2 linked regions of the Saccharomyces cerevisiae S288C genome follow. The protein of the gene in region 2 interacts with the protein of the main gene of each other region in a pairwise test. Each region holds a gene or a part of one and is shown on either strand. Other genes may lie near its edges.

What was found.
Region 1: the proteins of MUM2 (region 2) and VIR1 interact in binary tests that used the Saccharomyces cerevisiae proteins (3 or more experiments, as listed by UniProt).

The regions. Positions count from the first base shown.
Region 1 is NC_001139.9:426,725-431,834, forward strand, and holds VIR1 (Vir1p), read left to right. Parts: upstream 1-1,876; coding exon 1,877-4,606; downstream 4,607-5,110. Other genes in the region: OCH1 (initiation-specific alpha-1,6-mannosyltransferase), read right to left, coding at 1-80; PNC1 (nicotinamidase), read right to left, coding at 573-1,223; transcription factor MIG1, read right to left, coding at 4,824-5,110. UniProt on the Saccharomyces cerevisiae protein: Component of the MIS complex, a complex that mediates N6-methyladenosine (m6A) methylation of meiotic mRNAs and is required for initiation of meiosis, progression through the meiotic divisions and sporulation.
Region 2 is NC_001134.8:351,600-355,445, reverse strand, and holds MUM2 (Mum2p), read left to right. Parts: upstream 1-2,152; coding exon 2,153-3,253; downstream 3,254-3,846. Other genes in the region: ubiquitin-specific protease UBP14, read left to right, coding at 1-1,774.

The sequences.
Region 1 (5,110 bases), on a different chromosome or scaffold from region 2:
AAAGAATAAATAAGAAGTACGGTTACGACTATTGTTTTTGATTTCCTTGTAGCGATCAGGTGGGACAACTTCCTAGACATGATCTCTTCTTTCTTTTACTTGCTTTCTTTTTCCAAATTGCTATTATTGCTCTTGAAATGAAAACGGAATCAAAGAACTAAAACAACCTATCCCTATTAAATATAAAAGGATGCAGATGGGGAGAGAGAATGTGGATTGGCGAGAAATAATGTCGGTATTCGAAGAAGGCAGAAATACTAAAGTGGCTACCAAGCTACCAAACTACCTTAATGCAGAAGTTTTGACGTTGCTGTCCCTGCAACGTGAAAAGTCCAAAAAGGCGCGTTTAGTTGAGGCCCAGCCAAATCTTTTCGCGGTGGGCCGGCCAAATAGTTTAAGCAATTTACCCAAAAAAGAATAAAGAGAGGCGTAAAGACGTTAGTTAATATTTTATTATTCCTTCTCCATATGTCGGAATTCGGTGTACATACATATATATAGATATTGTTATATAGATTTGTGCATTTGCAAGCCACCCTAGTTCATCAGGTTGAAGAAGTATTATTCAGCTCTTATTTATCCACGACATTGATGTTGTGGGCCTTCAACTCTTCCTTAACCTTATTGATGACTTCGGGATCATCGCTGATGGGTCTTGTGTAATCCAGCAGGACAGTGGTCTTATAACCTAGTTCTGCAGCGGAAATGGCGGTGGCTTTGACACAATACTCCAAAGCTACACCGACAATGTAAACCTCGTCTGTATGATGCTTTTCTAAGTACTTGTTCATGTCGGTCTTATGGAAGTTCCAGATGTCGTGGAAGGCGGAGTAGTATTCACGGTCAGTCAAGAAACCCTTGTCGACAATCTTAATATGCTTAGTGACCACTTGGTCCATTATTTGGTCAACCAATTGACTACCCCAGGTGTTTTTCACACAGTGTACGGGCCACAAAATACCCTCTTGCGTGGAATCATCGCCTGGCCTTGGAGAGTGGTAGGTGTATGTTGAATAGGGTTCTTTATCTTTATGGTTCTTTGCGAACGAAATATGTCTGGAAGGGTGCCAATCTCTGGTGACCACAATCCTGTGCCAGTCTCTATCAGCATCTTGCATCAAATCCGAGATAGGATTGATTAATTCCTCACCTTTTGGAACAGTCAAGGAACCTAAAGGTGAAATAAAATCATTTTGCATATCAACAACAATTAAAGTCTTCATTTTTGTACTGTATTTTATTCTTTCTAACAAAGATATAGATAATCGTAAAAGAAAGTTTTGTTTGAAGGTTTCCTCACCTATTGCATCCAACCAGGTACCAGTTAAGAGTACATTGTATATGAAAATATATATATGAGTAATATATATATATATAGTTTTATTAATAACTATTAGCACATCATAATCGTATCTGGAGACACATACATAGTGGGCCAAACGGAAACCCCTGCCCCTTGAAGAACTTTTTTTTCATAATTCACTTTTCCAGTACGTAACACCACGCGGCGCCCCTTTGTGGGGCCTGCCCCTTTTTTTTTTTCTTTCTTTTTTTTCGGAAACATTCCGCGAGATTTCGGCACGTCCCAAATGATATCGAGCTAACACGTATAAAGCGATAACGTATATAACGACGTATGATTTTAGCAACGGAAGACGTTAACAATGACATATGGATATTTATTTATATATATAATATAAAAATTTCATTACCCTGTGTGCCACCTTGATCCTTGACTTAATATATTTTTTTCTGCTTGGATCTCGGCGGCAGTTTTTTCTGTTTCATATAAGGAGGATCGTAGGGAAAGAGGAAAACAAAAGGCATAATTAACCAATAGCAACAATATAAGCAGTACAGAACCCTCACCACCAGAATGCAGAAGTGTGCTGGCCATGCACCACTGGTGACTGCAGCCTCGCGGGTCTCCCAAGACACCGTAGACGCTCTTTTGCAAGCTATTTTAAAGGCCTACCATAAATTAGCTTCGATCGACAGTCACATTAATGATCCTGTTGAAATAGCCTTCAAGCTCATAAACTCTTTTAAGTATCTGCCAATTTCAGGCTCTTCTGTAAAAGATTTTGAGTCGGAACTGCGGGAGTTAGACGTTTTTTCTCCCCTTTTGCAGTCAGCCGTTACTGCTGCTAATAATAGCAATATCATATGGGACCTTATAGCGGTGTTATTTGCATACATTTCCATCCATAAACAGCTCCATCCTTTGATCCTGCACAATCTGAACATATGGAAGGATTTTATGGCAGATAATGACGAAGAAACGGCGACAACCACGGACGGGGACTCAATGAATTTCGGCGTACTGTCGCTTCTTTCCATTGTTCAAAATTTTGAAGAAATAACGCCAAATCTATTTGAGTTTCTAAAGCTCGGTTTGAGATCCACTTTACTCAAGATATGGGTAGCACAATGGCAAAGATACGATCCTTCGGCAACGAACTTAATCAACGGTGATGAGAAAATTTCTAGCTGGATAACAAAGGATTACCAGGTGGATTTTTTTATCATCACTTCATTAGCATCAACGTCCTCATTAGAAGTTTTGCCATCTCATTATTTTGTGTACAAGATCTCTAAAAGGATCTCTCACTTCCCAAATTTAATTGATCCTAAACTATATCGATCTGCAATTTCTACAATAATGGAAAATGGGATTTCAGACAATGGTGGTGGTGAGAACTCCAGCGACAAAATTGATCCGACTGATTTGTCCTTTCACTTACAAGTTTTAATGGAAGTTATTGACCATCCTGAGTTGAATTATTTGCAGGAAAATCGATTAATTTTGTTGCTCGACATTGCATTAAATTATTTAATCCTGGTTCCTACTCACTGTTTACATTCAAACTTTGGTGAATTGGGCTCTACTCAAAGTTTAGCATCCACTTTAAATATCATTCAGTTCCTTCTATCGAAATTCTTAATCAACATGGGCAGTATTTCGCAATTAATTAATCAATACAACAGGAAATGCATCACTACTAATAACATCAATAATAACAACATTAACAACAATGGCGTTATTAATGGTAGTACTAACACCACTAGTACTACTACTACTACCATCACTAATAACAATAATAATAGCAATAATAGCAGTATTAGTAATAATAACAGAAAAATAGACTGGACGCAATCATATCAAACGAGGTACCAAATTCCATACTGGTTTGAGGACTCAATTTTGCCACCAATTCCGCCTATTTCGAAATCGCTTTTCACTTTTGACAAGAACCTAGACCATGAGTCGGATTCAATTATGATTGTAAATGATGTATTACGCTGTTTGAATTTAACCATTCTTTTAATTTCTAAACTTCTAAGGGATTATGATGACCTGAAGATTAACCCACTAATTCAATCATCAGATGATCACAGTAATGAAGACAATCATGTGATAATAGAACAATACATGCAGCTTTATCTCGTTCCATTATTTACTTCATTATTATTGGCCCAACAATTAAAAGACCGAGGCCAAGAACGAGATGAAGGACATAAAGAGAAAGAGGAAAATATAAATCTCATCGGGTCTTCCTCAGTCAAGAAATTATTTTCTCAACTAATTTTTTTTAGCTCTTTGAAATTGTGTGAAAATTTGGTCATAAAGGAAAAAAATTTAGCACTATATCATTTGATCAAATTCGCGACAAAGGTTTCTCTGGATGATTTGATTTTACAAAAAATATCCATAAACTTATTGAATCATTTGTTCTTCCATCAAATTAGGGATGGAAGTGATGATGATAATTTAATTAAAAAGTTATGTTTAAAAAATCAACTTTCTTTCCAAGCTTTGAAAGATTACATCACATTGTGGAATGACGGTTCTGAAGTTTATAATGCATTTTATAAGGAGCTTTTCTATGAAGAGCAACCAAAGATTAAGCCAATAAAACTAACAACATCTGACTTGCTGAAATTATTCCCTGAGGATGTTCAATTTGTGATATCCACTCCACCAAATACAATAACTTCAGCATCAACAAGCGATAATTGTACATCATCACAATCAGCTGCGCAGAAAAATATTGAAAACTTTACTACGTTATCGAAGTACGATGTCTACTCGTCCACATCTTTCATACCGTCCACGTCGAAAAACACTAACACTAACGTTAGTAAGCAGCAGCAGCAGCCTCAAAACTCTACTCCATGTTCTTCCAACAGGTTTTTGTTCAACAAAAGCAGCCTAATTTCTCAGGAAAGTAATGGTAGCAACAATAACAGCGGCACACAAGGACCTGGTTCCATGAATGAGAGTTATTCTCTTGACAATTCATTCAACACAACCAATACCAATATGACGAGACAACCAACCACCTTAACTAGAGCAACCGATGCTATGACTACGGCACCTACGACACCAATTCCATACAAGAACACTAGTGGAAGCAGCAATAACAATCTATGGATTGAATCGCCCATGACAAATTTCAAGGGTTCCACCATCAGTAAAAGTACTAATAAGAGCAAAATGGTTAATACTGGTAAAAATTATATTTTAGGGGGCCACAATAAAGTTAAAAACAACAGTAGAGCTCAATCAATACATATAGATGACTTTGAAAATGAGAACAATTAATTATCTCTGCGGAAGACTAAGACAATCAAAATATGTATTCTTACTATCATAATTAAATATTTTTATCGTTATTAATTATTATTATTATTACTATTATTATTATTATTATTATTATTATTATTATTATTTATTATTTATTAATTATTAATTGTTAATATTATTAATTCTTGTCTATTGTCTTTTGATTTATCTGCACCGCCAAAAACTTGTCAGCGTATCAGTCCATGTGTGGGAAGGGCAACGGTAAACTTCTTATGGGTGGTAATGTTTCCAGTTCTTGAACTTGTGAATCCGACTGAGAAATGGGGGTTTGTTGGGTGGATATAGCAGTATTAATCATATTCACCCTTGGTGACAATAATAACGGGGTTGTACTTAACGAACTACTGGAAGCCATCATTTGATTTTGATTTTGATTTTGACTTTGGTTTGACGTATTTTGTGATTGCAGTAGGGTATGTTGCTCTTGCTGCTGTTGTTGAACGTTCAGTAATCTGTTGTTCA
Region 2 (3,846 bases):
ATGCTCTTCCTGTGATTTGACTCAAAATCTCTGGTTATGCCTACATTGTGGTAATATCGGATGTGGCAGGGAACAAATCGGGATTGATGGTCACTCGCATGCTTTGGATCATTATCGGAGTAATAATAATCACCCATTAGCTATCAAATTAGGGTCTTTAAGCTCTTCAACCTATGATCTGTATTGTTACGCATGTGACGACGAAACTAGATTTCCAGATAATGTTAATTTAGGCAGTGCACTACAAATATACGGAATTAACATACAAGAAAAGATTGCGGATGAAAAGACTCTAGTTCAATTACAAGTGGAACAGAACGAAAATTGGCAATTTAGAATGGTCGATTCTAGCGGTAAAGAATTTGAAAAATTATCCGCTAGTAAGAATTATGGCTGTGGTCTGATCAATTTGGGTAATTCCTGTTACTTAAATTCGGTTATACAAAGCTTGGTGAATGGTGGCGTCCCGAATTGGTCCTTGGATTTTCTAGGAAGTAAATTTCCACTGGATGTTGTATATCCGGACAATAATTTAAAGTGCCAATGGATCAAGCTACTCAATGCCATGAAATGTGAACCCGAACTATATCCAAATGGTATCAAACCTACTACTTTCAAGAAATGCATTGGGCAAAATCATCAGGAATTCAGTTCCAATAGACAACAGGATGCGATGGAATTTCTAACCTTCCTTTTAGACTTGTTAGACAAGAAATTTTTTTCAAGTAGTTCTTCAGGTATTCCAAATCCCAACGATTTAGTTAGATTTATGATGGAGGATAGGCTCCAATGTAACATTTGCGGGAAGGTTAAATATTCTTATGAACCCACAGAGGCTATACAGATTCCCTTAGAGGAGAATGATGAACCTCAAGATATGTTAGAGAGAATCAAGGCGTATTTTGAAGGGCAGACGATTGAATTTAAATGTGCTAATTGTAAGGAAAAGGTTACCGCAAATAAAAAACCTGGTTTCAAATCTCTTCCTCAAACACTTATTTTGAACCCAATAAGGATTAGATTACAGAACTGGATTCCTGTTAAGACAAGTAATGAGCTTTCTTTACCAGGTTTAATAGACAGGGATGATATGCTAGATGTTTCGTCTTATTTATCACAAGGATTTGATCCTCAAACTGAAAACTTATTGCCTGATGAGGACGAAAACCGTAGCTCTTTTACGCCAAACCAATGCAGTATTTCTCAATTAATTGAAATGGGCTTTACTCAAAATGCTAGCGTGCGCGCCCTATTTAACACCGGAAACCAAGACGCTGAGAGCGCTATGAATTGGCTATTCCAGCATATGGATGACCCTGATTTAAATGATCCCTTTGTCCCGCCTCCTAATGTCCCCAAGAAAGATAAGAGAGAAGTGGATGAGGTATCATTGACTTCAATGTTATCCATGGGACTAAATCCCAACTTATGTCGTAAAGCCTTGATACTCAACAACGGAGATGTTAATCGTAGTGTTGAATGGGTATTTAACAACATGGATGATGATGGAACATTTCCCGAACCTGAAGTGCCAAATGAAGAACAGCAACAAAAAAAGGATCTTGGATATTCGACCGCTAAACCGTACGCTTTAACTGCAGTTATTTGTCATAAGGGAAATTCTGTCCATTCTGGTCACTATGTTGTTTTTATTCGTAAACTAGTGGCAGACAAATGGAAGTGGGTTCTTTATAACGATGAGAAACTAGTTGCTGCCGACAGCATTGAAGATATGAAAAAAAATGGTTATATTTATTTCTATACAAGATGCTAAAAGAACGTTTACACACACACACACACACACACACACATATATATATATATATATATATATATATATATATATATATTTTGCATTATATGTGTATGATCAAATCTATCGAGTTAAATATTTCTACATATTTCAGTAATAAATCCATTTCCATTAGCTATTTTGCAATGTTTTTTCTTTTTTTTTTTTGCTGCTGTTACCTTCGCCGCTAAAAAATCATTTAAAACAAGAAAAGAGTACATTGTTTGATGAAACAACAAGCAAGAAATGTAAACGATAGTCAAACTTAGTAAGAAGAGAATCAGCTGGCTTGGTACTTGATCTTTTGATTTGACCTCATTCTTTTTGCATACACGGCTCGTTTGGAATACTGTTGTAAAAATGAATTACATGGCTTATGATTATGATCCCCAACATTCGTTGGAAACGTCCTTTAACAATTTGGCATTTCATCCCCACCAACAGTCACAGCAACAAGCCCTATACGAATCTGGTGAAAGAAACGATGCCAGGCCGGGATTAATGAACACCTTAGGTCAGGCGAGTAAAATGAATAATTCCATGCTTCCTCAAGGTTCGTCGGCTAGTCCCTTAACGGGTCAACATAGCTTGAACAGTACAACAAATTTCAACATGCCCCCATCAATGAATACCTATAATTACCAGAATGTACCACAAGCATCTATGAGAAATACTCTCAATCATAACAATATCATGAATGGGGCAACTGCTAATGATTATTGGCTGGATCCAATGAATAATATGACAAATAACAAGGATACTAATGGGAATCCTAATGACTCGATGTCATCAATGTCTAATATGACCGCTAAAACCTCAATCAATAGTACGGCATTCAAGAATTCATTTGTTCCTTTTAATCATGTGACAGCGCTCTCAATGAATAATGTCAACAGCAATGAGATGAATTCAAATAAAGATGACAGAATGGAAGCATTGGAAGTAGAACTACAAATAAAGGAAAGTCAAATCGAATCACTCGAGAACGAAATTCAAAGGCTAAAGAAAATTTTCAACGAGGGGCTAAACTACAAGCAGAATGAGCATAAGTATGAGAAGGAAAACTGCCATATACCCCAAACTTTCGAATTGCCAGCTTCCTTGGAAGTGATATTCAGAAAACTGTCATCGTCACTGCATGCAAAGGAAAAGGAGTTAGCAGAGACGAAAGAAAATCTGGAAAGTATATTAACTGCACTGGCGCTAAATCCAACAAATTCAGTGACTAAGTATGGCAGGTATGATGCAGAATCGATTGCTCACAAAATGGTGGTAAGATTAGAAAACTTAACAAACGAGAACAAAGAAATGGCCAAGATGTTAGCATATGGCAGATCAAAAGAGACCCAAATTGAACTGCAGTTGGCCAAAAAAGAAAATCTAGAATTAAGAGAAAAAATCGCATCTTTGGAAGCCCATTTGGCTTCAAAGGAGTCTTCAAAGGAGGACGTTGCTAATTGAAAGAGGTTTACTCATTATCGAGAACATATGGCTAATTCTAAAAAACGAAAAAGAATAATATGCAAATATATAGATATGTGTATATGATACAAGCTTTTTTCATGAAAAATAAACGGAAGAGAATTTTTGCTTTTGTCCTACACGAGGAATGTATCAAAGACTATTACTTTTTTAAGTATGTTGTCTTAGATGGCTGAGTTTTATGCTTTTTCCAAAAAGAGCAACGTAGCTGTTATTTATTTACTTAGTTATTACCTCCAGATAACGTGTCTAATCTCTTACCTCTATTTATAAAAATTATTCATTAAAATACTATTGAAAATTGGAGTATATACTTACAAACGTATATATTTTTTTAGAAGCATCAAGGCAAGATCAAAGCTATGCCGCTTTGTTCCTGATGTTCTCCATTTTTTGCTGGCTTCATTAACAAAGACGTACTTTTAATCCTAGAGGTTCATAAAAGTGAACAATCAGTGTGAACTTTTATGGATATTACATAATACATTTAACGGCATTCCATTTAACAATAAAATTCAAATGTGCTCAGCTGTGATTCATTGAAATGATAGGATACATATTATTCGTTATGC